7 linked regions of the Mus musculus genome follow. The main gene of each other region encodes a partner of the protein of the gene in region 5 in a complex. Links are inferred from orthologs where the notes say so. Each region holds a gene or a part of one and is shown on either strand. Other genes may lie near its edges. The genes, in order: Phf10, Smarcb1, Dpf3, Arid1a, Smarcd1, Smarca2 and Smarca4.

The links.
Region 1: Smarcd1 (region 5) and Phf10 share a complex: the UniProt entries of both Homo sapiens proteins name them as parts of the neural progenitors-specific chromatin remodeling complex. The link is inferred for Mus musculus from reciprocal best matches to the Homo sapiens genes SMARCD1 and PHF10.
Region 2: Smarcd1 (region 5) and Smarcb1 share a complex: the UniProt entries of both Homo sapiens proteins name them as parts of the BAF complex. The link is inferred for Mus musculus from reciprocal best matches to the Homo sapiens genes SMARCD1 and SMARCB1.
Region 3: Smarcd1 (region 5) and Dpf3 share a complex: the UniProt entries of both Homo sapiens proteins name them as parts of the BAF complex. The link is inferred for Mus musculus from reciprocal best matches to the Homo sapiens genes SMARCD1 and DPF3.
Region 4: Smarcd1 (region 5) and Arid1a share a complex: the UniProt entries of both Homo sapiens proteins name them as parts of the neuron-specific chromatin remodeling complex. The link is inferred for Mus musculus from reciprocal best matches to the Homo sapiens genes SMARCD1 and ARID1A.
Region 6: Smarcd1 (region 5) and Smarca2 share a complex: the UniProt entries of both Homo sapiens proteins name them as parts of the BAF complex. The link is inferred for Mus musculus from reciprocal best matches to the Homo sapiens genes SMARCD1 and SMARCA2.
Region 7: Smarcd1 (region 5) and Smarca4 share a complex: the UniProt entries of both Homo sapiens proteins name them as parts of the BAF complex. The link is inferred for Mus musculus from reciprocal best matches to the Homo sapiens genes SMARCD1 and SMARCA4.

The regions. Positions count from the first base shown.
Region 1 is NC_000083.6:14,958,461-14,962,418, forward strand, and holds the start of Phf10 (PHD finger protein 10), read right to left. Parts: upstream 2,801-3,958; 5' UTR 2,735-2,800; coding exon 2,651-2,734; intron 1,066-2,650; coding exon 959-1,065; intron 1-958. UniProt on the Homo sapiens protein: Involved in transcription activity regulation by chromatin remodeling. Belongs to the neural progenitors-specific chromatin remodeling complex (npBAF complex) and is required for the proliferation of neural progenitors.
Region 2 is NC_000076.6:75,918,815-75,923,058, forward strand, and holds the start of Smarcb1 (SWI/SNF-related matrix-associated actin-dependent regulator of chromatin subfamily B member 1), read right to left. Parts: upstream 2,801-4,244; 5' UTR 2,582-2,800; coding exon 2,489-2,581; intron 1-2,488.
Region 3 is NC_000078.6:83,484,937-83,489,018, reverse strand, and holds the start of Dpf3 (zinc finger protein DPF3), read left to right. Parts: upstream 1-1,282; 5' UTR 1,283-1,310; coding exon 1,311-1,342; intron 1,343-4,082. UniProt on the Homo sapiens protein: Belongs to the neuron-specific chromatin remodeling complex (nBAF complex).
Region 4 is NC_000070.6:133,719,486-133,722,985, forward strand, and holds part of Arid1a (AT-rich interactive domain-containing protein 1A), read right to left. Parts: coding exon 3,354-3,500; intron 1,515-3,353; coding exon 1,065-1,514; intron 169-1,064; coding exon 52-168; intron 1-51. UniProt on the Homo sapiens protein: Involved in transcriptional activation and repression of select genes by chromatin remodeling (alteration of DNA-nucleosome topology).
Region 5 is NC_000081.6:99,700,905-99,705,086, reverse strand, and holds the start of Smarcd1 (SWI/SNF-related matrix-associated actin-dependent regulator of chromatin subfamily D member 1), read right to left. Parts: upstream 2,801-4,182; 5' UTR 2,766-2,800; coding exon 2,589-2,765; exon of another isoform or gene 2,297-2,588; intron 1,982-2,296; coding exon 1,794-1,981; exon of another isoform or gene 1,585-1,793; intron 1,497-1,584; coding exon 1,454-1,496; exon of another isoform or gene 1,350-1,453; coding exon 1,227-1,349; intron 757-1,226; coding exon 634-756; intron 1-633. UniProt on the Homo sapiens protein: Involved in transcriptional activation and repression of select genes by chromatin remodeling (alteration of DNA-nucleosome topology).
Region 6 is NC_000085.6:26,603,958-26,607,959, reverse strand, and holds the start of Smarca2 (probable global transcription activator SNF2L2), read right to left. Parts: upstream 2,801-4,002; 5' UTR 2,727-2,800; intron 2,712-2,726; exon of another isoform or gene 1,911-2,711; intron 1,810-1,910; exon of another isoform or gene 1,450-1,809; intron 1,387-1,449; exon of another isoform or gene 905-1,386; intron 819-904; exon of another isoform or gene 417-818; intron 1-416. UniProt on the Homo sapiens protein: ATPase involved in transcriptional activation and repression of select genes by chromatin remodeling (alteration of DNA-nucleosome topology).
Region 7 is NC_000075.6:21,614,849-21,618,968, reverse strand, and holds the start of Smarca4 (transcription activator BRG1), read right to left. Parts: upstream 2,801-4,120; 5' UTR 2,569-2,800; intron 1-2,568. UniProt on the Homo sapiens protein: ATPase involved in transcriptional activation and repression of select genes by chromatin remodeling (alteration of DNA-nucleosome topology).

The sequences.
Region 1 (3,958 bases), on a different chromosome or scaffold from region 5:
TCAAATGATCAAAGAGCACCTAAAAAATATTCGGCAAGCACCACTAGCCATGGTATACAACACAGAATCACAGTGGGTGATCACCTTATGTCTTTCTGGACGCCTATCAGCAAAATGAGCAAAAATAATGTTGCAAGGTGTATTGTTGGTGGAAATGCAGACTGGTACTACTGCTATGGAAATGTATGGAAGGTCCTTAAAAAGTCTGAAGACAGAATCAACGTGTGGTACAGCTTTCTACTTCTAGTTATATACCAGAGTATTAAGAACAGGGGTCTGAATGCCAGTGTTCACTTCAGCATTAACTACCCCAGCCTGCAGGTGAATGAGCACAATGTAGCAGAACATACGATGGAATATTGTTCAGACTTAAGGAGCTCCAACACGATGAACCTTGAAGATACTATGGTTATGGGTAAGCCAGATAACACGGGGCAGGTACTGTCTGGTTCATACTCAGGGCAGGAAGTAGAACTGTGGTAACCAGCAGCTGGAGGCAGGAAGGGATGGGAGGTACTGGAGGGTTAGGCAGTTTGAGTTACTAAAGTTTTGGAAAGGGCCGAGAGTGATGGTTGTACTGAAATATACTCTTTATATATAAAAAGTGTTACAATGGTGAGTTTTATATACCTACTTTACCATAACTTTTTAACAGTTATCAGGAGTGAGACCTACTTTGATAGTATATGACTTTTTTAGAAGATTTGTTTGTTTGCTCTCTATACAGACATTTGTGGAGGCCGGAATGGACCATGAGATCCTCCAGAGTTTACAGGAGCTTATGAGATGAGATGTGGGGCTGCTAACCAACCTCCAGTTAAGCAAGCACTCTTAACTTCTGAGCCATTTCTCCAGCCAACACATATAATTTTTAATAACTGTTTCTGCTGCCTGGAATAGGCAGGAGAAGAAGAAGTGAGCAAAAGTCTACGAAAGTTACTACTGAACCTTAAAGTACCTAAGATCTTGACTTGAAGTCTCACAACTTCTTGAGCTGTCTCCTGAGCCCATTCGCCTCCTTTTACATGGATGGGTCCCATCATTTGAGTTATCTTCATTATCATCCTGTACATTTAAATGATTAAAAAATTAGAAAATTTAAGAATGAATAAAACTAAAATCTGACCTTTAATCGAAATGAAATTAAATTTTCAACTGTATTTTAAATGTACTCTGCTTTCACTTTCTTACCAACTAGATTGTGTTCAAACATCTGCTTTTTAGTAGCCACACCACTTTAAAAATCAAAGCAAGCCTTCCTATTTGAGCTGGGAAATAAATACTAGTAAGTTTCATAGTACCCTTCAGCTTACAACTGGCCCCCCGGAGGCGCATTTTAATTAGCTACTTTGGAGATGAAGAAGGACTGGATACAGGTTACCACGTCTAACTACATTCCTTTTCTTCTGCGGCAGAAATTCAACACTTTGTGATAAACTCATAGGAGATATAGGTTGTTGAGCCATTCCATTAAGGAAATAAGTAATCAAATGTTTTAAAAACAATTCATTACGTTAATTAATAGGCTTAAACTCCTATTTTTTTTTTAAATCAAGGTACTATAGCTCCTAACACTACTACTCTTACTATAAATTTCAATAAAGGCCCACGGAAGGGAATGAAAAGGCAGCACAGGCTAGCATGCCAAGTCAGCATGGCACTGCGGGCTGCCAGAGAATCTTACTGAGCACTGCCCTCCACCAGCTGTGTGCTGCAAGCTTCTCCCCAGTCCTAAAGCCTAGGTGGCTGATGCAAGGATGCAGTGAAGTGATCACATAAGAGCCAGGTAGCACATAGCTGTCTGATATATGTTAACGTTGTGATTAGCAGTGACTTTATATTTCATTATGTCTCCAGCACCTAGGAATTTACTAAAATTACTTTCCAAATTAAAAAAGAACATAGAAATCATTCCCCTTTTCACTCTTCAAGAATGAAATCAAGTAGACTTAATATTCCCTTTTAAAGCTAACAATCAAGAAGTTGAAAGATAATTAAATTTCTTAGTATGTTTTTCACTGTATTCATGGTCCATACTGGCTTGACACCGTTAATTTTAAGCACTATTTTATTAATTTGTGGACATTTTAAGGATTTCTGTATGTCAATACTTTTACTTAAAAACAATGATCCTCTCGAAAAGAAACAATAACGGAAGTTGACACAGAGTTTACCAGCTCACAACTGTAGGAATCCTAAGGGCTACGTTCCAGGTAAGGCCCTCCCCTCCGCACCATCCTCGGTCAGGACAGGGAGCCAGCAGCCCCCTGCGAGCAGTCAGAGACCCCACCAGGGAGGACCGGCACGTGGCGGGGGCCACCTCGGCTGGCCGGGTCTGTGGGTGTGAAACCACGTTCTGCCAACTCGGGACCCCGAGCGCACGTCCCGCTCAGCGTCTCCCCGACTGAGATCCCCAAGGCCGCCAACTTTTCCGACTTTCCCAGGCTGGGGGCGCTTCGTCTCAAGCACTCTTCCCGAGTCCCCCGGTCCCAGCTATTCCCGGACAACTTCCCACCCCGCCGCGCAGGTCTCCCCGACGTCCGCGCCCACTGTCCGCCGCACTTGTTGCTCCAGGACCCGCCGCCCGGTCTCCTCTTCTCTCCCGAGCCCGGCCTGGGCCGCTGCCCCTTGGGCAGCGCGCTCCGCTCACCTTTGGGGACTGCGCTCCGGGGGAGGCCGGGTCGCTGTCGCACCGCCCCGGGGACAGCGCCGCCCCGGGCCCGGCCGCTGCCATCAGCCCAAGCGCCCCGCGCCTCCGTCGTCGTCGCCGCCTTCGCCTAGTCCCAGCGGCCGCCGCCGCCGCCGCTGCCGCCGCTGTCGCGCGGGCCGCCCGGCGCCCCGGCCCCGCCCCCTCCGCCCGCCCGCCCGGGGGCCGGCCCCTGCCGCCGCGCGCCCCGCGGCCCGCCAGCGCCACCGCCATGGCCGCCAGCGCGCTGCCGGCCGGGACCCGCACGCCGCTCACGTCAGCCGGCCGCAGCTGCGCGGCTCCGCCGGCCTCGGCCGGGGCCTTGCCGCCTTGCCGCCTTCACCCGGCGCGCCGCGCCCGGCCTGAGCTCCGCTGGCCAGCCACCGCCTCGGTCCCGGCCCCACCCGGGTTCCTGGCCGCCTGGCGAGCTCGCTGCCGCCCCTTCCCTGCGCCCCCGGCCCGGCCCTCCGCGTCAGCCGCGGCTCCGCGCCGCCCCGCCCCGCCGCGGTCCCGCCCCCTCCCCTCCTCCGCTGCGCGTCAGCCGGGGGTCCTCAGTCGGCGGTGCCTGCCTTGTCCCCACCTGGGTCCCTAGCCCCTCCCCTCAAAGATGTGTCTTCACCACGCTTGTTCTCCAATCCCTCCCCCGTACCCAGCTCCTCCCCTCAGCCCGGGGTCGCCACCACGCCGCCGTGTCCTCCCCACTCCCGATCATCAGCACCTTAGCTGAGGGTCCCTACCGCGCGGTATCCTCCCACCAACCCCACCCCTACCGGTCCCCAGCCCCTCCTCTCAGCCCGGGGTCTCCACAGCCGCGGCGACCTCCCCTTCTCCACCAGGGTCCTCGCTCCCTTCTGTAAATGAAGGATTAGTGTCCTCAGCCCACTTCCTCCTCTCTCGCAGCCCTTAGGGTCAACCACCCCAGGAGCTCCGCCTCCTCCCTCTTTGAGATCCCCTTCTCCTGAGTCCTTTCTGACTTCTCCACCCCACCTCTCCATCTTCACTCCACACACCCCAGGATCCCCAAGGCGCTCTTGGCTCATTTGTTCTACAACTGCTTCTCCTGTGACCTTGGCGTAGTGGCCCCCATGGCCACGGGAAAAGTCACAGCAGCACTCAGGTTGAACGGAACCCAGTCAGGCAAGGAGAACATAGGGAAGGTTCCCAAAATCATATGACAGAGTCAGCACAGTCACCTGCAGGACACAGGATTGGGAATTCCTGGAAATGGAAGCCAATTGTCCAATGGTGTTTGGACAGGATTTATATTGATGT
Region 2 (4,244 bases), on a different chromosome or scaffold from region 5:
TGCCGTGCCAATGACCTCAAAACACAAGATTTCCAGTGTAAGCATCTCAGATGCTTAAGAAAAGTAAAACCAGCCAAGAAGGCGCGCTCAGTGCAAGACCATGTGCTTAGCGTGTACAAGGCTCTAGGTTCCCCAGCATGAGAAATGAGAACTGAGGAAGACAGAGAAAGAGGGCAAGGGTCAGGAGGCAGAGCAAGCTGTCACTACACCTCCCGAGGCTCTTCCCACCTGACCAGGAGCTGTCTTTCAGTCTCTCCACCACATGAGAATTTTCTTTTCAAAACTAGGGCTGAGGCCAGATTTACCCCTTCACTGGTCAGTTCAGGTAAATAAACATCTTTGAAGAAACTCTTCTGCATAGACTATTTAAAGTCCTTAACTGCCATACGCACCACACCTTGCACTTGAGCAAATGCCTAGTGGCCAACAAGGACCCTTCTGAGCTGTGAGAGATGTCCCCAGCACAGCCACTGTGGAACAGAGGCACAGAGGTGACAGTGTGATCAGTCTTGGCGGCTTGAGTTTTTTGTTTAATGGAAGATGGTGAAAACGGAAACTCTAAGTCTGGATGTTTCTGACAACATTGGTCTCACAACCTGATTCAACCGACACACTAATAAAATGGAGTGTATGTCACTGAATAGCTGCCAGAGGTAACGGCTGGCAGTCTGAAATGCCATTAGCTCTCCAGGGTGGGCACTTACCTCTTTACACATGTTACATGTCTACTGGATGACATTCACACATCTGAATTTTATCTTTTTGTTATTATTATTCCTTTCAAGACAAGATCTCACTACGTAGGCCAGGCTGGACTCAAAATCACCCTCTACTTCTGCCTCCTGAGTGTTCAGATTAAAGGTGCAGCCCAGTGCACTTAATAAACAAACAAACAAAAAAAGAGTAAGAAAGAAAGAAAAAAAAATAAGCCACATAAACTGGGTGTAGTGACACCAAGTGCTTTGATCCTGGCACTCAGAGGCAGGAGGATTTCTGTGAGTTCAAGTGCCAGGTCTACAAAGTGGAGCTACAAGGCAGCCAGTTACACGATGAGATCTTGTCTCAAAAAGAAGGGGGGATGGGGCTGGTGAGATGGCTCACCAGTTAAAAGCACTGACTGCTTTTCTGAAGGTCCCGAGTTCAATTCCCAGCAACCACGTGGTGGCTCACAACCACCTGTAATGAGATTTGATGCTCTCTTCTGGGGTGTCTGAAGACCGCTACAGTGTACTCATAGACATAAAATAAATAAATAAATAAATAAATCGAAAAGAAAAGAAAAGAAAAGAAAAGGAAGGAAGAAAGAAAGAGAGGAGGGGAGGAGAGACATAAACTGGTTGGGGGTTGCCCTTAGATGGAATGAAGTTAGTTTGAGATAGACAATCTGCACCAAAAAAAAAAAAAAAAAAAAAAAAGGTAGAAAGAAAGAAATTTCAGCTGAGCAGTGGTGGCACACGCCTTTAATCCCAGCACTCAGGAGGCAGAGGCAGGCACATTTCTGCCAGCCTGGTCTACAGAGTGAGTTCCAGGACAGCCAGGGCTACACAGAGAAACTGTCTCGAAGAAGAAAAAGAAAAGAAAAACAAAAAAAACAAAAAAACACAAAGATTTGGCTGGTCTCTAGGGTTAATTGAAGGGATTTTCTAAGGTTGTGGTTCTCAACCTTCCTAATGCTGTGACCCTTTAATACAGTTTCTCATGTTGTAATGACCCCCTCCACCATAAACTTTTTTCGTTGCTACTTCATAACTCTAATTTTTGCTACAGTTACGAATCATAATGTAAATACCTAATATGCAGGATCTTTGATATGCGACCCCTGTGAAAAGGGTAGTGGCTGGCGCACAGGTGCGATCCTAAGGAACCCTGTCCACCTGACTGCACAGAAGCTGTCTCTTCTAGCTCTGGGTTCTGGGTTAGCGACCCTTCAGATTTATCCCCTATAAAAACTCAAAATTAGTTCACTGATCTCCAAAACGTTAGTGCTTCCGACCTCAGGGCCTCAATCCACTCAAAAGCAAACATGTCCAATCACTTTCTAAACATCATAAAAGCTCTCTGCAGTCCACCTCGCAAGCAACAACACAAAGGGGAAGAGGCTTTCCTAAGCTTCGGGCTTACAAGTAGAGATTTCGAGACCGGGGCAGTGGGGTGCACGAGAGCTGCCAAAGGGTTCAAGGGCAGTGTTGCACCTCCACTTCCAAGCGCCCAGGGGCTTCCCGAACATCCTTTCCCCATCTGCCTAGAGTGTACCGGCTCGACGCTCTAAGCTAGGACAGATGCTTAGGGTCTGAACAACGTTAAGTGGGTAAAGAAAACCCAGGACGGTCCAGGCGGGACCGGCCACGCCCACCAGGCCACGCCCCAGCTGCGAGCACGCGCCCGCCTCCGCGATGAATGGAGGCGCGCTCTCGGGGAGCACTAGCCCGCCCCGGGACTCGAGCCGGCCAGCCGCTGCCCGGGAAGCCGAGAACGCGCCGCGGGCTACCTCGGAGCCGATCATGTAGAACTCCCCGTCGTCCTCCAGCTGAAACTTGACGGGCTTCTGCCCGAAGGTCTTGCTCAACGCCATCATCATCATGGCGGCGGGGGAAACCGGCAGCCGGGGTCGAGCTGGAAAGAATCCGGTGGGCTAGGGCGGGGCCGAGGCGCGTCGGACCGAAAGGAACGGAGGCCTGGAGGTGAAGGTCGGGCAGGGCAAGCCGGGCGAACCGGGCGAGCGCTCGTGTCACTACTGGGCTCCTTGGCCGTCTCTGCAACGAGCAGGCCGCCCTCGGTGCGCATGCGTGGAGAAGCTGACGCTAACGTGCGCGCCGCAGCCTGCGCGACTCAAGGCCGAGCGCGTTCCCGCAAGCCCTTAAAGGGACCCGAGTTCTTTTTTGCTTCCTAGGCTTCCTCCCTGGGCGGGTAAGGAGGAAAACCTCTCAGCGACCGAAATAGCCACTGAGGCCCTGACTCAGGCGGTAGCTTTCCTAGTCGCATAGCCAGAGCTGGCACTCCGCCCCGGGATGAAGGAAAAAAATGAGACGTTAAGCGAGGAGAAGGACCGCTCTATCTGGAAGCCCGAGGGAAGCTGGGTGGGCATGGCGACCCCACGCTAGCGCCTCAGGTTTTCCACCCGAAAGTGCGTTAGGAATAGCTAGCTATCCACTCCAGGCCAACAGCAGTTCCCGAGGCAGTAGGGATGGGAAGAATGACAATACTGGATGGAGGTTGGTACTATTCAAAGATCTAGGTGATGTGCCAGATGAACGGGAGGAGGCACTTGCATTCCTTCCTTACCTCTGCAAGCTTGGTGCCCACAAGCCCAGCCCTGGTCTGTGCCTCTGCCCGCCTTGGGGCATAACAGCCCCGAGAGAAGACAGTGCTTCTGGAACGTGTCCAAGCAGTCCACCCCCTGTTGAACAGAGCCGTGACTCCAAAATGTTTAATGTTTATTGTAGCACTATTACAGGAGCTTAAGTTATAGCCTAGCCTAGGTAGCTATTCAACAATAGAGGAATGGATGAAGAAAATGTAGTCTAGGCTGGGTGTGGTGGTGCAAGCTTTTAGCTTCAGTTCCAAGACAGTCAGGGATATGTTGAGCAACTCTGTCCCAGAAAACAAAAAAGAGTGTGAAATGTGTGTACATGTGTTTTTTGTTTTTCAGCCACAAAAGTGAAATTACATTGTTTTCAGGAAAATGGATGCAACTAAGATATCATATTAAACAAATCAGGCCAGTCTCAGAAAGACAAATACGTTTTCTCTCATTTGTGCTTTCTAGATTTTCCTTAGATACATAAAATATGTATTCCACAGAACATTAAAGTAAAAGTGACATTGTGTATGGGAGCAAAGGGACTAACAACCTAGTGTAGGGGAGGTGGGGGCATGGTGGGATGTGCAAAATACAAACACTTCTCTGAAAGCAGCAGGACAAACAGTGGCCAGCTTCATAAGGGTCAGTCTAATGAGACTGCAATTGTGACTGGGGTCATGATGAAGGAGATGTTAAAGAACTAGGAAAGGCTGTGGTAACCAGGAGTTTGCCCACTGATCTCACAGCCATGGGAACCAGAGGGTTAAGGGCCAGGGGTGGCTCACACTTTTAATCCCAGAACTCCAGAGTCATAGGCAGGCAGACCTCTGTGGGTCCCAGGACAGTCAGGGATGTATAATGAGACCATGCCTCCCTCAGCTCCCACCCCCAGTAGTTAGGCATGATCTGATAAAATGATACTGCTTTTGCTGAGACAGCCAGT
Region 3 (4,082 bases), on a different chromosome or scaffold from region 5:
TGTAATTGTATTTTACTTTATTCATCGAGAGTCGTAAAAGGCGAGAGCAGGTGGAATTGTGAACTGCAATTCAGCATCTCTCGGTTTCCTTTTCACTTCCCAGCCCCCAGCTATTTGACCTGATTAAACAGCCAAGGGGGCCATAGCCCGGCTTCTATAAGCTAACGATGCCTGTGCCCTCTAAGTGATTTCATGAGTTTTCGCCCACTCCGAGTCTCCCTGTGCTCCGTGGAAGTCTGAGTTCGCAGAAGTCTCTCAGTTTCTTCTGGGGTTTATCAGATTCTGAGCAGCCGCATACTGGGGAAGCCAGGAGTCACGTCTGAACATTCACTTGCAAATTCTTTTCACCTCCTATCTTAGTCCAGAAAGGTGACGCCTGAATTCTCAGAGCCGTTCCCAGAGGGGACTCAGGCAACACCTACCTCAGGCTCTAACAATTTTTGCATAGTTACTGACTTCCCTAGCTGCGTTTCCTAAAGTTGCCTCAAAATTTCCCCAACCTTCTGCCTAAAAAGCGCCAGGTCTCACTTCGCTCCCAAGCTGGCCATGTCAGATCAGTGTGAATCGTTGACAGTGGAGAACGGTGGTCGTAGGGGACCGCGCGGAGTGACCACCCGTGAATTACGTAACAAAAGCCGTGGCTGTCCGCAAGCCTGACACTGAGACATTCCAGGAGGAAGGGAGTTGCTGTCCTGGACTCTCCAGTTCTCAGAAACCGCCCGGGGAAGGTGGCTGAGATCAAGAAAACACTTCGGGAACAAGAATATTGAACAGCCGCGGAACCCAGAACATTATTAGCAAACAGTGGAACACGAGTAGTAATTTCTTGGAGGAAACTGCAGCCTTCCAACTTTTTGCACTGCAACACGGTGGTGTACAAGGAGCTCGGGGGTTAAAAACCGTGATTTACAAAGCCCAGAGCTAATGAATGGGGTTAAGTGGTTTTGTTGGCACTATGTAAATATTCTTGTCCAGGAGCGCAAACTCTGCAGTTATTTAGCAAAGTAGGGACTCCAACTAAGCGAGAATGCTCTCCCATGTTGTCTCCACGAGTTCCAATCTAAAAGGGCGCTACTAACACGGTACTGCCCCTTTAAGACCTGCTCGCTCTCGGGCTCTACAAAAGGGAGTGACCTCTGGGCTTTGACAGCTCCCCTAATAACTACCACCACGCAGGCCCCGCCCACTTGGCGACCAGCCGCGCCGATTGGCCGGTAGGCCGGTATCCCGTGCTCTGATTGGCCTGCCGCTTCCCCTGAGCGAACCTTTAGAACTCTGAGACAGACAATATTCTGTTACATTGTAGCAAAATGGCGACTGTCATTCACAACCCCCTGAAAGCGTAAGTAAGACTAAAAAATGTACATATTCCGCGTGGTTTCAATATGAAAAAAAGGCGCCTTGTGGAGCGCAGCCGGCGCCCGGCTCTCGCAGACACCTCCCGCTGCGCCCGGGCTCCTCTTTTCTTCCTGCTCTTACTTCTTCATCTTTTTTTTTCCTCCCAGCGCGCAGAAATGTCAGGAGATGCAATTAACAAAAAGAAAATTGTTACATTTGTGTTCTGCTTAATTGGCTGACCGGGACCGGGAGGGAACACAGAGCGGCGGCGCCGGCTCAGGAGCTGCGGGGGTCGTGAGCAGCCCGGGTCTTCACGGTTCTCGGAGTCCCCTGCCTCTCCCGGCGCCGCGCGGAGCTGGCTGAGGCTGGCCAGAGCGCGGGGTTGGCTGAGCCTGGCCGGAGCGCGGGGCAGAGACCGCGTCGTGCGCTCGGCTGAGCCCTGCACTCCAAGCCCGAACCTTCCCGGCCCCGCTGCTCGTCCACCCAGGCGGGCAGACGGACCGCAGCGGCTGCGGAGTTTTGCAGGGCGTTCGCTCTGCCTTCCGAGCTCTCGCAGGGAGTTTGTGTAAACCTTCCGGAGTTGGGAGGACAGCGCGCGGAGCGGCGGGTCCCGGGAGTCCTGGGGCCCAGGTGCTTGCCCCGGGCTTTTCCACTCCGGCAGCCGGGGATCAGGCAGGCGCTCCGGGCGGTCGCCGGTGTGTCTGTGTATTTGTAGGCTAACTGGCTCTAGTAAATTAACGATCCGGGTTAACTTGGGGTTGATATGGAGGCAGGGAAACTGCAGGTCTTATAAATGGTGTGCTTGCCTGCTCTGGGTGAAAAGCCGAGGCGGTGGAGGCGGCGGTGGAGGGCTCTGGCGACAGCGAGGGGCAGGTGCCTCCCGGAGACTTTGAGCGGACACAGGGGGGCGGGCTGCGCAAGGACTCGCGGGGGCCGGTTCCCGATCGGAGCTGCCTGCCCGCCGGTCTTCCTTCCTTCCTTCCTTCCTTCCTTCCTTCCTTCCTTCCTTCCTTCTTCCAGTCGGTGGACTGAATATGAAGCCGCAAGTCCGCGGGTGATCGCGGAGCCGGGGGTGGCCTCGGAAAACTAGTGTGGCTCTCAAGGGGCGCTATTGGCAGGCATGTTGGCAGAGGGTGGATCCTTGGGAATCGCGGCGCGGCGTGGGCACCCAGTGGGTGCCCGGTGTACTAGGACTTCCCCGCCCTGATGAAAGCCAGTGGGAGTCGGAGGGTGAGCGTGGGTGTTTAGTGCCAATTCTTCCCGGTGTGTGTCAGTGGTCGATCTTGGCTCTTTTAGCTGCGCGCTACAGCGTCCCTGGCTATGGGAGTCGAAAACACCGTTCGCTTTGGGGAGCAGCAGGGCGGCGGCGAGAGAGTGTGCGTGGGATTCCTAGTGCCAAGAAACCCGTAGGGAGAACCCGCTGCGTTTGCACCAGCCAACAACCAGGAATAGGGCAGGGATGTCCCAGATCTTGGAGTTTCCATGAGATATTGCTGTAAAGACGGAGGCTGAGCTTGATGCGAGTTCCTGGCTCCCGTTCTCGTTCGGAAGCTCAGCTACTTTGCACTCGCGACAGCGTCTCACCGAAGAGAGAAATTGTTTTATGGCAGAAGAAATGGGCGTAACTTCCCCGCTCCTCGCCGACTCCCGCCGCCACACCGCTGGGGCTGGGAGTTTCTCCAGAACCCACACACAGCTGATTTGCAATTTCCTCATTTCCAGCCGAAATCACGTAGCCGAGCTGATGCTGCTTGGTAAACTCAAGTCGGAGAGATCTATTTGCTATGTGTACAGGGTTCTTCATTGGCAAAGCGGCATCCTTGATGCCCGGGAGCGGGCTTACGCTCGGGCGCGCGCAGGAGCTCCACACTCCTGGGTCCCCCAGATCTTTCCACTTTTTTTTTTTTTTTCCACAGAAGAGTGCATGTATAAGAAATTGTGGGGGAGAAGGAACAGAGAAGCTAGAAGGTGGCCAATCAGTTAATAGAACTAGTTCAGATTTACACTTGTATCCCTTAATAATTGGAAATACTTGCCGTGGGATGCATTTGTAACTCCGTCTTGGCTCACGCACGCGGACGCTCACACAACACCCCTGTCTGCCTTTCCTCAGAGGAAGTCGAATGGTCACTTATAATTAGCCGCCCCCTTTTGCATCCAGTCCTCTTCCCCTGAGGGCTAAGGGTGTAAATAATAACCCCAATCGGTCAAGCTATTTGCACCCTGGACATTTTAAAAACTCCGCACGCAGGAGCACACACATCGTTACCGGGAGACTGAGGCCATCTGCTTTATTATTATTATTATAAAAACAACTTGTTTAATAAAACATCTTATACATGCCATTTGTTTCTAGAAGTTGCTGATCAGGAAACAAAACACACGTGAATAAATTATGCATGGGCCAAATTAGAACAAAGCATAGCAACCCAGCAAGCTGAAGGGATGGATGGGGGGGGGGCAGGGAGGAGGAGGAGTGAGGAGAATGGCTTGGAGAGCTTATGTGTTTATCCTTGTGTGCCCCTCCTGACAATGAACCGGAGCTCCAAACTGCATTAGCATTTTCTCCGGGTGCAAGCAGTCTTTCTCGTCTTAAAAAGGCAACATCACGGACGCCCCCTACAGAAGAAACTGGTCACACAAAGATTTCCTCTTGGGCCTGGGGATAAGCAGCAGTAGTTACGGTGTTGGGAAGAAGCCAGCTCGGGTTTCTTTCATGCCACCCTGTGTAGGGCTATGCCTTA
Region 4 (3,500 bases), on a different chromosome or scaffold from region 5:
AATTGGTTGCTCTGTATTAGATCACCCTGTACGGGGATTAGAGACACTCACAGGCAAGCTGGAGGGCCTTGACTGAAGACTCAGGTTCATATCTTCTTGCCCTCCCTTACTGGAGGTCATTGAGGGGGCTGAGGATGCCTGAGACCCAAATGAATCTTGAGAAAGCTCCTGCAAGGAAACACAACAAAGCTGTGAGGGCGGGCTGCTCCAATGGTGGTGCACACCTTTACATTCAGCACCTGGCAGGCAGAGGCAAGTTGGTCTCTGAATTCCACAGGAGCCAGGATTACACAGAAACCCTGCCTCAAAACAAGAAAAAAAAAAAAAAAAGACCAACCAACTAACCAGGTTGCAACTGGAGAGATAAATAAGCCTGTTTTTCCTGTAGAGCCAGCATCCACACAAAGGCTCAGAACTCACAACCAACTCTAACTTGTGTTCTAGAGGCTCTAACATCATTTCCTGCCCTCCATGCGCATCAGTACACACCAGGTACAAGGCAAACAAGTACAAAATACAAAGCACCCAGAGGGTGAAAGAGCTGTACCGTTCCTCACATAGGGCAGCACATGTGAGAAGCACAACTGCATCTATCATTTGAAAAGACAACACCTTAAGCAATGGCTCTTCAGAATGTTAAGAGTGAGTCTGATATGGCAGTGATCGACTGTGATCCCAGCACTAGGCAAGCTCCAACAGGAAGATAGCAAATTCAAGGCCAGTCTGGGCTACATTGTGAGACATTATCTCAAAACAAAAAGCACACAAACAAACAAACAAAACTTCCAAACAAATTCATGTCAACAGTGGCATTTGATAGAATTGTTTTTTATTTATGGTGACCCCAGAGGAGCCATTTCTTGGGGTTAAGGGCTGAAATCTAACCAAAATTTAGTATCTTATCAATAAGTGGACCCAACTAATTTTAAAAACAACCAAAACCTGATAGCACATTTACCCAATTTCTTTTTTTATATGGCAAAGCTCTCAAAACACCAAGCTTATGTAAGCTGCCTCTGGCGGAGTACATGGAGGGCAAGAGGCAGACCATCCGTCTGTCTTACCTGTGGTGGAGGGAAGCGCTGCTGGGAATAGGCAGTTTGCTGGGACTGCTGAGGCTGGGGCTGAGGATATGCAGCCTGCTGGGAGAGCGACGAGGATGCTGGCTGCTGAGGTTGCTGCTGCTGGTAGGGAGACTGTGCCTGTGGTTGTGAGTAGGGGGGCTGGCTCTGGGGATGCTGTTGTGTGGTGGACTGCTGGGAGGGATATGGAGTTGGGGACTGCTGATGTGGAGGCTGGGATGGCTGCTGGGAATATGGAGGCTGAGAGGACTGAAGCTGTGGTTGCTGAGTCTGCGGCTGCTGCTGATACGAAGGCTGGGCATGAGGGGTCTGGGATGGTGGTTGCTGGGCGTAAGGTGGCTGCTGCTGGGGATGAGGACTTTGCTGGTTATAGTATGGAGTCTGGCCCTGCTGGCCATACGCACTGGGGCCTTGCTGGCCATAAGGTGGAATCTGTAAGAAAGAAAACATCCTTTTAAAGTGACTCACCTCCATGAAGTTAGGCTCAGGGGCCTTCCTTCTACCACCCATCTAGAGACTAAGCTCTAAGAATGGTCAAACTATTGAAGACTGAATCCACTCACTGAAAACTGATGCTTCTTAATATTCACACAACTCATACGAGCTCAAGAACAGTTATTTTCCCCTAGTGAACATATTCTTTTCATCATGACCTAAATTGGTTTTATGTTAGGAATTTTTTCCTAACCACCATAAAGAGGCACTAGGAGCTTGGTTCAAACAACTGAAGACTCAGTGTTTAGTAGTGTGGATAGTATACAAATCACTAAGCTACCCTGGTACTCTTTCATTTAATTTTTATTTTAAAATTATTCAGGGGTGGGATAGAGAGATGGCTCAACAGTCAAGAGCACCAAGTGCTCTTCCAGAGGTCCTGAGTTCAATTCCCTAGCAACCACATGGTGGCTCACAGCCATCTGTAATAGGATCTGATACCCTTTTCTGGTATGTCTGAAGACAGCTACAGCATATTCATATATATTAAATAAATAATTCTTTTTAAAAATTATTTAGGGGCTATATAGCTCAGTGTATTTGCCTAGTATTCATGAAGTCCTCAAAACCACATCCACCAGGCAGGATGAAACTTGCCTCTGATTCTATTCCACTACTTGTAGCCTAGACACAGGAAGATCAGGAAGCTCATGGTCCTTTTGGGATATATTAGAGTTAGAACCACCCTGGAATGTAAGTAAGATTCTTCCTCAATCAATCAACCAATAAATAAATACAAACAAAAAACAAAAAACAAACAAGCAAACCAAGAAAAGAACTCCATGTCACCTCTCAGTTCTCTCATAGAAGGAAGATAGCTGAGCGGTAGTGGCACACACCTTTAGTCCTAGCACTCAGGAGGCAGAGGCAGGTAGATCTCTGATTTTGAGGTGAGCCTGGTCTATACAATGAGTCCCAGGACAGCCAGGCTATACAAAGAAACCTTGCGGAAGGAAGAGATGGGGGGGGGGGGTGGAGAGAAGAGAAGAAGAAAGAGAGGGAGGGAGAGAGGGGAAGATAAAGTAGGTGTGTTTCATCTAGTCGGTGTGTGTAACGATGTCCTTTGCTCTACAGTTTGTCTTTAGAAATCATCTCAGACTCGCTATACTGTCCTTTACTTTTCTGGTGTGTTACTCAGACATAAATGGCAGAAAATCTGCCAACACAAAAAAACAACAATGTCCTTTGCTATGAGACCTGGCATCCTGCCTTCACCTCCAAGTAAATAATACTGTAATTTTTTAAAAGGTGACTATGCAGGGATGTGGATGGAGCTCAGAGGCAGAGTCCTATCTAGTATGCTTGAAGCCTTGGGTTTGATTCTCTGCACTGAAAAACAAGCCAAATTTTAAAAAAAGCCCAGGATAGCTGGTCAGATGGCTGCGCTGGAGGAGGCCCCTCTGAGGCTTCACTGCACTGCTCACACAGGCCTGTCCTCTTTCTCTCCAAGTCCTTAAACATTCTCTTTGACCCAGGCAGCTTATCTTAAAAGTCTGTGAGAAAGAAGAAGAGCGGCCTCACCACAAGGCAGGCAGCACAGATTGGCCTTCGTACCACTTCATCTCCCAAGGGCAGACCAGCAAGATCAAGGGAAGACAGGGGCTGAGATAGATTGGGTTAAACCCCAAGATATGTTGAAACAGACATGGAACATACATACAATGGTGCGGACGCAGTTAAGCCAGCAAATCCATGGGCATCAAGAAGCCATTCTGACCTTATACCTCAAACACCAATTGTGGACAGCAAAAAAGCTCAAGGTAATCCATCACCTACCTGCTGTGCATAAGAGAGGCTGCCCATGGCACTCTGAGCCCGGCCCTGCATGGTCATGGGGTACCGCTGTGGAGTCTGGGACCCATATGGCTGCCCTGGGTACCCATGTCCTTGTTGCGGTCCTGAAGGAGGTCCCTGTTGTTGCGA
Region 5 (4,182 bases):
TTTATCTGGACAGAACACATGACCAGCAAACAGCCCGGACTACCCACAGGAGGCTCTGGTTCTCCAGCAAAAGTGCACTCGAACGAGCTCACTTGCACAGCTAAATATAGTGCCAGAGCGCAGCACTGGGTGAGCATGAGCTGCTGGGTGGAGAGTTTGGGGGTGCTCATTAGTCTGATGATCCCCTTGGAGCAACAGAGAGCCAAGCCTTTGGGGGACTCTCACACTTAAACTGTGGTACCTCCAAGGAAAGTTGGGAACACAGAAATAACCTCAAGGATTCAAGGGAGGAAACATGGCCTCAAAGGCTCAGCACAGATGGGTGGCGGGCAGGGATGGGGACCACTGAGATCATCCACTGATACTGCTAAATCCAAAGGGCAGCATCACCAGGGCCAAGTCAACAGCAACCCAGACCCCAGGACAAAACCGTGCAGCTGAGGAAGCAGACACAAAGGACCATTGTCTTTGTATGCAGGGAACACAGCCCCCCAGCCCCCTCCCGGAAGCTCCCAGCAGGAGTGGTGAACTGCAGTCAGGTTTCCTGCTGAGCACACCGCACCAAGCACCCGGCACAGTGCCACCCCTGCAGCTCCCTCCCTGAGCACCAACCACAGTGGACCTTGAACTCACGTCCTCCAGGAGCCGGCCTTCTACCCGGAGCTCCCAGGAAGCCACCGTCCCTTCCCCATCCTCCGCGTCCGACTTAGCCGGATTGAACGTGTTAGAAATGAAAATTCGCAGCTTCCGTTTTTGCTGAGGAAGGCAGAAACAGGATCGACAGTGGAGCTTCGGTAGTAAAGGTCCCCTAAAACTCCCAAGTGACTCCTCACTGGCTGGCTCACTACAGGGGACAGAGACTCCACTCGGAAGTGTACAGTCCCGACCTGAGCCTGGGTGCAAGTGAATGCACCAGGGGACTAGGGAGACAAAATTGTGCAAAGTGGCATGTTCCCAAGGTAGCAAGTGGTTACAGCAAAAAGCGCGCACGGGTCTATTTCTGTCTAGAGCCCTGGATAGCTCCCCCCCAACCCCCCACCCCCGCCCCTTTCCCTGCCAGCTGTTAGACTCCTATGCTCCTAATGTAATTCCTGGTTTGTAGGCGGAAGGGAAAGATGCAATTTAAATGCCACAGAGAGCTGTGCTGTGCCTTTGATTTTTCCATCCTGAGCTGGAGAGAGACCTGGGCCCCTCCCTTGACCCTCAGCCTGGTACTGTCCTGTTACCTTGATGGGACGTTTCAAGGCCTCCTGGATATCTAGCCGCTTCCTCATAATAGTCTGGTCCAGTTTCCTTTCAAAAGCCAGGAGATCCATGTAGGCCTGTGATTCTGGGACCAGTTCCCGAATCTTAGGAACAGAAAGACAGAGATGGGATGGGGCAGCCCTCGTTCTGACCACTTCTATTCTCAAAGCCACTACCCCTTCAAGGAGACCTCTGCAGCTGCACTCACCCTTTGAGGTAGGATTTTGTCAGCCATCTTCTTTTTCTTTGCACTGTTCAGAATAAATACTGTGATCAGGTTGGGATAGGAACTAGTCAGAACGTGAGCAGTGTTGTGAGCACCTTTGTTTATGGTTACAGCCAAGGCCTACGAAATGACTCTCCATTTAAAGACGCTACCTCTCCCATGACCACCAAAACTCCACTGCATCATGAGGCCCTGTTAGTCCCTGCAGCACCGTTTGGTGCCACAGCGCTGACTTCCTGGTTCTGCATGCCCACCACCAGCATCCTCACAGGCCTCCTCTCCCCCATACCCTTCTTTCCTTCACCCCCAGGGGTCATCTTACTTGTGATTTCGATTTTGGACCGCCTGCTGCTGGACCTGCTGGATCTGTTGAGGTGCAGGTCTCTTGCGGGACTGGTCCATCCCTGACTGGGCCAGACCAGGTCGGACTGAAGGGTTCCCCCCATAGCCAGGAGGTCCCATGGAAGGTCCCTGAGGTGTCATTCGGCTACCTGGCAGCATACCTGGTCTCTACAGAAGGGAGAGGACCCAGAAATGTCATACTTTTCCTTGCTAGCCCCACCAAGAAAGGAAAAATGGTGGCAGCCTGGATTTCAGGAGTGGGTTAGGGCTGGGGGTGGGGTGGGGGGACAACAAGACAGTCCTTTGCTTCTTTGAAATACAGTCACTGGACCTTCAGTGATTTCATTGCATATAGTCTAAAAACTAGATTATACTCAATTTTTCTGGTCTATGCTGGATCTGACTCACCAGACATGTCTAGTCAGCCCTACATTTCTTTTTTTACTAGCTACTGTCTCCTCTAAAGCTGACCTCCATTTGCAGCTATAACAGCCTGGGTATTCCTGGGGACACGGGGGCTGCCCACTCCCCTCTGCATTCCATGACCATCCCAGGGCCCACTTCGCCCACCCTGGTTCCACACTCACTCCTCACATGGAAACAATGCCGCCAGGAGCAGGTAAGGATGCTAACCTCCTCCCCCCCCACACACCTCCACTCCCGGCCCGAGCCCCTCCCCAGGGAGTCCCTCCCACTTCTCCCTCACCCCTGTCAGTCCTCCGCCCTCGCTCGGCCCCGCCCCCGGCCCGCGCGCCCCTCCTCCTGTCCCACTCACCGGATAGGCCGCCCCGGGCATCGGAGAGCGGTACAGCCCTTGACCCGGCGCCGGGCCCATTCGCACGGGAGGCCCGGGAGTTCCGCCCGGGCCCAGAGCAGCCGCCACGCCCGCTCCTCCTGAGGCTCCCGCGCCGCCGCTCGGAGCCACAGACTGGAAACCCGCCCGGGCCGCCATCTTCCCGGAGCCGCCGCTGCAGCTGCACAAAGAACCGGAACCGGAACTCCCCCCGCCCCCCGCGCGCCCCCCGAGCGCCTGGGCTGTTTGTGGGCCCGGCCCGCCGGCGGGCACAGGCGGCTCGGAGCAGCGAGACTACGGGCTAGAGGGGGCGACTAGCGGGAAAGGCGTGCTGACCACTCCCTCCCGCCTTCACGGGCCAGGAGGGAGCACCATAGAGAAGCGGTGTGCGGATAAAGAGGTGCCGGGAGCGAGCGCCTCCACGCGGTTGGAGGACGGTAAAAAGCCTTGCAGAGAGCCCAGCCCATCCGGCTGGCGGCTGGAGTGATGCTTCACCTTGGCCCAGTGCATTTACCTCTCCAAAGCATTCTGGTTGCCTTGCTTTTCGTTCTCCTACTGCTCAGACTCCGGGTACTAAAGAGGAAAACGTGCTGTTTGTTCGTTCGGGAAAAGTAGAACTCGAAGGAGATCAATGTCGTGGCAAAGACAAATCAGCAAGAGAAAACCCATGCCGGGCCGTGGTGGCGCACGCCTTTAATCCCAGCACTTGGGAGGCAGAGGCAGGCGGATTTCTGAGTTCGAGGCCAGCCTGGTCTACAGAGTGAGTTCCAGGACAGCCAGGGATACACAGAGAAGGCTCGGGACCCTTCACCTCAGACGTTTAACTTAAGATTTTGATGCGTTTTTTCCCGTGACTTTTCTCCAAAGAGTCCTGGATATTTGTTGCCATAGATAACTGCTGGTCCCCTGCCCAGTGATCAGACGAATCCTGAGCCTGTCTTTTCCCAGCAGGATCAGTGTTTACCTGATCAAGTATGTAGGGTCTGGTGTAGCCCAATCTAGCGTTAAACTCACTGTGTAATGGAAGATAGCTGCTCCATCTCCTACCTGCTGGAATTACAGGTATAACCACCACACCGGGCTACCACTCAAATTCCCTTACTCTAGTTGTGTGGCTCTCAAGGCAAGCTCCATTCTAAAGGTAACACCCACAGTTTGCAACTAAAAACAGCACTGGGCAGGATAATGGCAGCTCAGGCTTTTAATCCCAGCATTTTGGGAGGCAGGAGGATCTCTGTGAGAGTTCGAGGCCAGCCTGGACTACAGAGCCGTTCCAGGACAGCCAGGGCTACACAGAGAAACCCTGTCTCAAAACAAACCAAACAACAAACAGAAAACCAACACTGAAGAGATGGTTGAAACCCAGTTTATTAGACCAGAGGCATGCGTCACCCAGAGCCCCTCCTGCTGCCCCCCCAGCCAGTGTACATTTCTCAGCTTTGCCCTGTTTCTTTCTGGGGAGTTCTGATCTCTAAACAACTCTTGAGAACCAAGAGGTCTCAAAGATGCCAAAGCCTTGCTCTCTGGCTCCAGGCCAACGTACACAGGTGATCTGCCCATAAGTCCTGTTTTGGGA
Region 6 (4,002 bases), on a different chromosome or scaffold from region 5:
AATGATTCTGCACTACGCCCTCGCTCTCTCCCCTCCTACACCATCCTCCTTCGCTTTAAACACCCCCAAGGGCCCCCGCGAGAGAGTGGACCGCTTGGGGTGTTTATTTTCTTCGTGGAGTAAATCCTGCGAGAGTTGGAAGCACATTTAGGCCCGAAGTTTGAACGTGCAACAGCCGCAGGGCACAGCGACTCACTCTCTCCGGACCTGGAGCAGAAAGAACTGACCACGCCAGCCACCCGCGAGGCCTCCATCTCCCCCGCGCAGTGCCTCCCGCTGGAAAGTTTTCCCTGCAATCGATTGCCTGCCTGACTTTGCACGGAAGGCGAGCCAAAGATGGGAGGGGGGTCGGCAGAGAAAGACCTAGAAAGCTCAGCGGGCGGCGGCGGCGACAGCGGGAGGAGCCGGCTCCTTACCTGGGCGACGCTGAACGGCCAGGGCTCTCGAGCTGGCGCCGCCCGGGGCTGCGAGGGAGCGGTGTGCACAGCGCGGCTTAGGCCGGCGCCCGCGGCCCGGCCCCCGCCACCTCCTCTTCCTCCCTCGCGCGCGTCATGTCACGGCGATCAAACACGTCTGTGCGCTTCGCCGCGGTGACTTCCTGATTCTCCGCCGCTCGCGCGCGCCACGCACTCGCCCTCGCCGCCGCACGCACCGCCACCGCCTCCCGCCGCCAGACCCAGCCGGCTCTGCGTCCGGCTCCCGGGAGTGCTCCGGCTAGAGACGCAGCCCGCGCAGCTCGCCACTCACTGGTCCCTAGCGCACTGCACACTCACGCCAGCCCGCCGCCCCCTCCAGCCCCTCCATCCGACTTGCAGCACTGCCAAACTTTTTTTTTCCGGGTTGATTGGTGTCCAACTTCCCTCCGCCCCCATCCCCCAGGCAGCCCTACCAGCCCGGCGCTCACCACTATCCGCAGCGAATAGCAACCGGTATAAAAAAATAATAATGTAATCCAGGCCGCAGGGGTGAATGCAGACACCCGCACCCGGCGATCTCCTGCAGGTACCGGAAACCAGCGTGAGCGCCCGGGCCGGAGCGCGGGTGTCCCCTAGAGTCCTCAGCGCTGCGCCCCGCCCGGAGCGGTGTCACTGCGTCCAGGCTGCGCGGCCTGGTGCGGGGCACCGGGGGGCACTGTGCTGGTGTGCGCTTGGTGGCTGGAGGGCGCCCAGGGGCTGGCGCGCTGGACCGGTGATTTGGGGAAGTACATCGCGACACCTATGCAGATGGCGTGGCCCTGTTTTGCAACGCCAATGGGAGGGGAGGCAGCCCAGCGATGGGGGAGGAGGAGGAGGCAAGGGAAGGGGTGAACTATGTTGGGATGGGAATAAAGCAAACTCGAAAGCAGGGAGCAAGAAGGAAGGGGTGAGTGTCATCGCTAGGAGGAGGCTCCCACCGGCTCTCCCCGCCTCCCTCCTTCGCCACCCCCTGTTTCCTCCCCACTGCAGCCCTTCCCCTTCCCGGGCGAACGCCGCGGCCGCTGCCCGGGTGCGTGCGGGTCCTGTTGTGACAGTCAGGCAGAGAGGATTATCCGGATCATGGCCTCCCCAGCCCTCAGCCGCCGTGGCTCTCCCGGGTCCCTGTGCGCCCCTGACACTCAGACCATCCCAGGCGCCCCGCGTCTGCAGCTTCCTCGGCGCTTGCCAAGGAAAGACACCAAGCAAAAGAAAACAAACCCAGAGAGGGGAGGGGAGGCTAACAGAGCCTAGTGGACACCTCGGACCTCTTTCCTTGGGGCTTCCTTCCACCCTCTGTAATGAGACCCGGGCTGGACACCCCGAACTTCAACATCCTAGCCCGCGCTGCCTCTAGGTACCAGACAAGAGGGTCCGCGGCGCCACGGCCATAGCCCCCGGGGCCAACCCTTTCACCTAAAGGCCTGTCACCAATCAACATTCCCTTCCCTGCCCTAGGGAACCCCGGGAGTGGAGGTGACACCTCGGAGCCCCAAGGCACCAACCCTGTGGTAGTGGCCGCCGCCCGCTCAGTGCGCCATCCCAGACTACTACCGCCAAGATCTGCTCTCGTCCCCGCAGCCGGAGCCCTTTAAACAAGTCCCCGGGAGGCGAATAGCAGCCGTGTTGGTTGGCGCCCTGCCGCCAGCCCGGGCTCCTCACCCTCCTTCCCTCCTTTCCTGTTCCCTTCCAACTCTAACGGGGAGGATGGCTCGGGGTGAACTGTCGCGTTTCCAGTCCCCCGCCTCCCAACCCCTCCGCCCCCCGGCCCGGAGTTCCCAAATCCCCCTCTCCTCTTGCCACTAGCCCTCCCCACCTCTGCTTTTTAGGGGATAGGAGGGGGGGGGGGATGCAACCTGGCGGAGAGTGTGTTGCAACCCTGAGTTGGCAGCGCATCACTGTCAACCTGCCCAGGGTCAAGGCTGTGACATGTTGGGATTTCTTCTCCTTGCCCCCTCGAAGTAGTAATTATTACTGTTATTATTAGAACGGCGAGGTTCGGTTGAAACTTTGTTTCTTTTATCGCCACCCGGGAGCTGTGGTTAGAGCATTCCACCTGAGGCCCGCGGGGAAGAGGCGGGCTTTTTTGTTGTTGTAGCGGTTGGCCCGCCTGTTTGTTTTGGTCTTCCAGCATGCACAATAAATAATGATTAGGATAAGGATGCATAATCCGGGGCGAAGGCGGCGCGGTGCCCAAGGGGTTCGGCGGCCGCTGCGGCTGCTGTAAGGCCGGAGCCGTGGAGAGAAGAGAAAGGAGTTGTAAGTTATATTTACCTTGCTCGCGAGCAGTGTGCTGGCTGAATCTTCCCTCTCTGAGTCACCCAGAGTACAGAAACAGAGGGAGCGAGGACTAGATTATGAATATGACTTCATTGATGACAGCCGTCCCCTCCTCTTCCTAAACTCGGGCTCCGCCCCGCGTCCCACCCTCGCCGCCTCCACGGGCGCCGGAAGACGCGCCGCAGTTGGCCCCGCGAGCCGCTCCTCCCTGCCCGGCCCGGCGCGGGTTGGTGGGACGCTCCTGTCACTCGCCCTGCTCAGCGACTCCGGGAGCGCGCGGGGGGAGCAGGGGGCGGTGTGCAAGAATGTGGATCTAGACAGCTCTACTGTATGCGTGGATCTGTGTGTGTCTGCGAGGCGCCGGCTCTCCGCCGTGTTTGTGCCTGGAGCAGAGAAACTGCGCAGGACAAGCAACCAGCCCGCAGCCCTGCTGGACTCGGGAGCCGCACATCCTTTAGCTGGCAGTAGCCTTCCGAGCTTCTCCGAGGAGACTGGGGGAACCCCCCGAAGCGAAGGGGAGGGCAGCCGTAGTAATCGAGCGTAGTAGTTCTGGGGAATGTGGAGACCGTGCTGGAATTTAAGTGTGCCTGCGCCTGCCAGCTCGAGCCTGCAGAGAGAAAGGGAGGGGACGGCGGGGGCAGGGCTCCGGGTGGCACCAAAGCTGTTTGTGGCAGTGTTGGCCGCGGGGGTGGGAGGGAATGGGCATTATCATACGAGCTGAAACTTTTTCGACCCCCGCCTCCTCCCCGTTTCTCTCAAGGCTGTCATAAATTTGCGTTCTTCCCACCCATCCCCAGCCCCCAGTGAAAAGGGAGGCGGCACAAAGAGCGAGCTTGCCAAATCTGTCTCATCCCTAAAGGACTGCAAGCTTCCAAATGCCAGAGAAGAGAAACAGCTGAGAGGCCGGCCGCCTAGTAAATAAATAAACCCAGATAAACCCTCCTAACCCCTCTGTTTACTTCGGAAAGGCACGAAGCACTTTCACCTCCCCTCACCTGTCGTCTTCGAATAAAATATACATAAAAATGTGGGAGGAGAGAACGACCCGCGAGGGTAGGGCGGGAGAGTCAGGGGGCAGCTGAACCATGGGATCTGCTTTTGATTTAAAAAGGGAAATAAATCTCAATCTCTACAGACCGAAGTCTCCTCTCTCTTCCACCCCACATTTAAGACCAATTAAGGCTACAAACTGCAATTTGCCTGCACGTAGTGGTTTGGAGAGCTAGTGTTTCAGTTTTCCTTGAAATACAGTATGTCTGCCGGACCCTAG
Region 7 (4,120 bases), on a different chromosome or scaffold from region 5:
TCATCCCTCCCAAGGACCACCCCTCTCCTGTCCCATTATTGCCTGCTGGAGACAGACAGAGCAGCAGCTGTGATGACATCGCTCCACTCCCAGCTATGGGGCCAGGGGAGACACATCTTCCCTAATTTTGAATGAAGATTCCTCCTTCATGCAACCTTCTAGACATGCCCACCACTGCTCCCTTGGGCAACCACTCTGTCCCTTCACAAGATAGGGTATGAGGCTTAAACGGCAGGCCAAAGGGTTAGAGAGATGCATACATACATACATACATACATACAATACATGTCTACCATGCACAGTGCCATGGATTCCAAGCTTAACAACACCCAAAACAACAAACAACAACAAAAAACCCACATTAATAAAAAAATAGCAAAATCAAAACAATGCTTGCAGGATACTAGCTTGGTGGAAGGACACTTACTTCCCTAGCATGTACAGGATCAACTTTGATCAACACCTCAAAAATTCAACACACTTAAGACTTAGGGAAAGGAGAAATGACTCAACAGGTAACTTGCACTGAAAACTGACTACCTGAGTTCAATCTCGGGAAACCACATGAAGGAGGGGAGAAATGACCCCGGCAAAGTCTCTCTGACCTCCACACACAAATAAATAAGGAATTGTAATGCTTTAAACTGCTTGGCACTGGTGGCTCAGTGTGAATCCCAGGCAGAGGCAGGCAGCTCTGAGTTCAGCTAGAAGTCAGCCTGGTCTATAAAGCAAGTTCCAGGACAGCCAGGGCTGCACAGAGAGACCCTGTCTCAAAAAAACAAATAAACAGGGCATGGTGGCACACACCTTTAATCCCAGCACTCAGGAGGCAGAGGCAGGCAAATTTCTAAGTTCAAGGCCACCTTGGTCTACAGAGTGAGTTCCAGGACAGCTAGGGCTATACAGAGAAACCCTGTCTGGAAAAACAAAAAACAAACAAAACTGAATTAATTAAAAAAAAAAAAAAACAAGGGCAGGAGAGATGGCTCAGTGGTTAAGAGCACTGACTGCCTTTTAGAAGGTCCTGAGTTCAAATCCCAGCAACCACATGGTGGCTCACAATTATCCGAAATGAGAGTCTGAAGACAGCTACAGTGTACTTAGATATAATAATAAATAAATCTTAAAAAATAAAAAATAATAAATAAATAAAAATAAAACATAAGTGGCCTTAAGGGCTTTGCTAATGCAAGAGTTTAATCCCAGTACTCAGAGGGCAGAGGCGGCCAATCTGTGTGAATTTGAGGGCAGCCGGTAACAGAGTTCTAGGACAGCCAGGACTATACAGTGAGAACAGAAGGGGGCCAGGAGAATCAAAACAAACCCAAAACTTCTTAATGAATTAATACACATGCAGGCCAAGGAGAAACGTCCCCATATTTACTGCCCATTCCCCTACCAGACATGTAACACAAAGTAAAAGATTCAACTATCTGCTGGACCAGTCAAGAACAAAGAACAGGGCAGGAAGCCTGGCTGAACATCATCCCAGCACTTGGGAGGTGGAGGCAGCAAAGTGAGGATGAAGCCAGCCTGGTCTACATGAGGAGCTGGATGTCAGCCTAGGTTATAAGAGTCTGTCTTCAAAATCAGAATAATGATGATGTAGGAACGATTTGCCTAGTTCTTCCCAATCCTAACAGCGAAAGTAATTCCCTTGTACAAAGGAGGAAACCAAGAGGTTTGGCGAGATTAGCGATTTCGCCTAAGGCCACACAGCAAGCTGACAGCAGCCGGCGCTGGGCATCAAACTCAAAGGCTGTCTGTCAGTTCAAACAAAAACTTGTTTCTAGTTCCTGAGGAGTCACTGGAGGTAAAAGGGATCAAGTAGATGTCTTCGGACCCGCACAAAACACTTGCCTTCGGTGTTTTAAAATAAAAAACCCTATCTTAAAAACTGGGAAGGGCCAAGGGACTCAAAAGAAAAACAATGCCGCCGAGAGCAAACGTCCCCAGGCATCTTTCACTTTTTAGGCAAACATTTTGAAGCCATGGAAGAAATTCTTTATTTTTCCTTCAAAATCTGCAATAATGAAATTTATCAAAAAAAAAAATAATAAACATGAAGAAAGTAAGGTCTGGAGACCGAAGAGGGCTCATGACTGTGTCCAAGCTACACTGGGCATCAATAACTGAGGTAAAAATGTTGCTCCCGACGCCCGACCACAGGGCATTGGGATCCCACCCGTTACAAACGAGGCCAGAAAAGCCCACGACACCTAGCCACTGTTCAAAGTTGGGGTCCACAGAAATTAAAGTGGGGGATCTGGATCTCTGAAACGCCAAAGGGAAGAAGCTTTGTCCAAGACCCTACGAGAACGCGCGCGCGGCCTTCACGCGGCCCAGAGCCACCCGCCTCGCCGGCCACAGTCAGGAAGCCGCCGCGGTCTCGCTGCACTGCGGCCTGAGACGCGCGCGCAGGGCTTCTTGACCCTCAGGCGCCGCCGTACCGCGACCCCGCTTTGGTCGCCCAGCTGCCCCCTCCCCCTCCCGGCGCCTCCGCTTCATTCAAACCGTCTTGCCCAAGCCCCGGGAGCCTGGTTCCGCCCGGGAGCCTCCATTCCTTACCTGGAGGTAACGGCGCCGTAACCTTCCTGGCGCCGCCCCCAACCCTCCACGAGGGGTCGGGGACAGAGTGGGCGTCTCGCTTCTCCTCAGGAAACAAAGAAGCCGTCTCCGCCGCTGCCAAGCGAGTGGGAAAGCCTCGCGCGCGCGCCCGCTGGGCTTCGCCAGGCCACCCCCCCCCACCGCACGCGCCCGCCGCGCGCCCCCGCCTCCCTGTCTACCCGCTCCACTTGCCCTGCTTCCGCTGCCCGGCCGGCCTCGTGCGCGCGCCAGCCCACCCTTCCGCTCTCTGCGCGCATGCTCAGCCATTCGCTGTGCGCACGCGTACTAGTCCTTTGAGGGCGCGAGGAGGTGGGCGGGCCCAGAGGCTGCACAAGATCCTGGTGCACCGCCCCTGTGGGGGGCTCGGGGCGGCTCTGCGCAAGCGCACATCTACCTCCCAGGCACGAAACTGGGCCTCAAGCCGGGAGGCATGCGCAGTGGGGGTAGCACTGCGGCGACGCTTAAAGGTTGGGGGAGGGGGTGGGTGGTCCAGATGGGAGATAGTAAGGATGAAATTAAAGTCCTCAGGCTCGGAGCAGTTGGAGCACCCAGGGAGGAAAGAGAAGCGGAGAGATGGCCAAGCTATCCCAGGACCGGCAGAGCCCACGCGGTGCTAAGTGCAGGCCCGGGAAACGCTTTGATCCTGGTTCTGGCGCTGCCCTGCCTGCTCTGCAAGACTCTGCCCTGGCCACATTTCCTGCAGAACCTGCTGAGGCCCAGTAATTAGCTTTACAAATATTTATTGAGCTGCTATCGGCTACTTGCTGCCCTCTATTACAGTCTGTGGGGAGGCAACCGAATGAATAAGTAAAATACAGAGTGTGAGGTAGAAACAGCCATATTCACAATTTAACTTCTGATTTCCAAGAAAGCCATTAGCCTTGGAGCATAGAACTCTGTCCAAATCTGTAGATTCATGCCTCTGGTTGAGTTTTTAAAATATTTGGTAGTGTTCGGGAGGCAGAGGCAGGTGGATCTCTTGAGTTTGTTACCAAGGTGTTACTTGTTTTTGTTGTGTGTCTTTATGGTTTGTTTGTTTGTTTGTTTGTTTGTTTTTATTTTTTTGGTTTTTCGAGACAGGGTTTCTCTGTGTAGCCCTGGCTGTCCTGGAACTCACTCTGTAGACCAGACTGGCCTCGAACTCAAGAAATCCGCCTGCCTCTGCCTCCCGAGTGCTGGGATTAAAGGCGTGCGCCACCACGCCCGGCTGTCTTTAGTTTTTTAAGACGGGTTTTCTTTGTGTAGCCGTGGCTGTCCTGGCACTTGCTCTAGACTAAGCTGGCCTCGAACTCAGACATCTTCCTTCCTGAGTGCTGCATGCATGTACCAATCCAGCTTGGTCTTTTACATAGTGAGGTTCCAGGGCAGCCATGGATACAAAGTGAGACCTTCTCTAAGTAAACAAACAAAAGGGTGTTTTCTGCCACAAAGAACAAAAAAGAATGTTTCAGGCCATTAAATCACTGGCCTGCTACTGCCTCTTAAACGCTAGGGTTACAGACCCAAGATACCA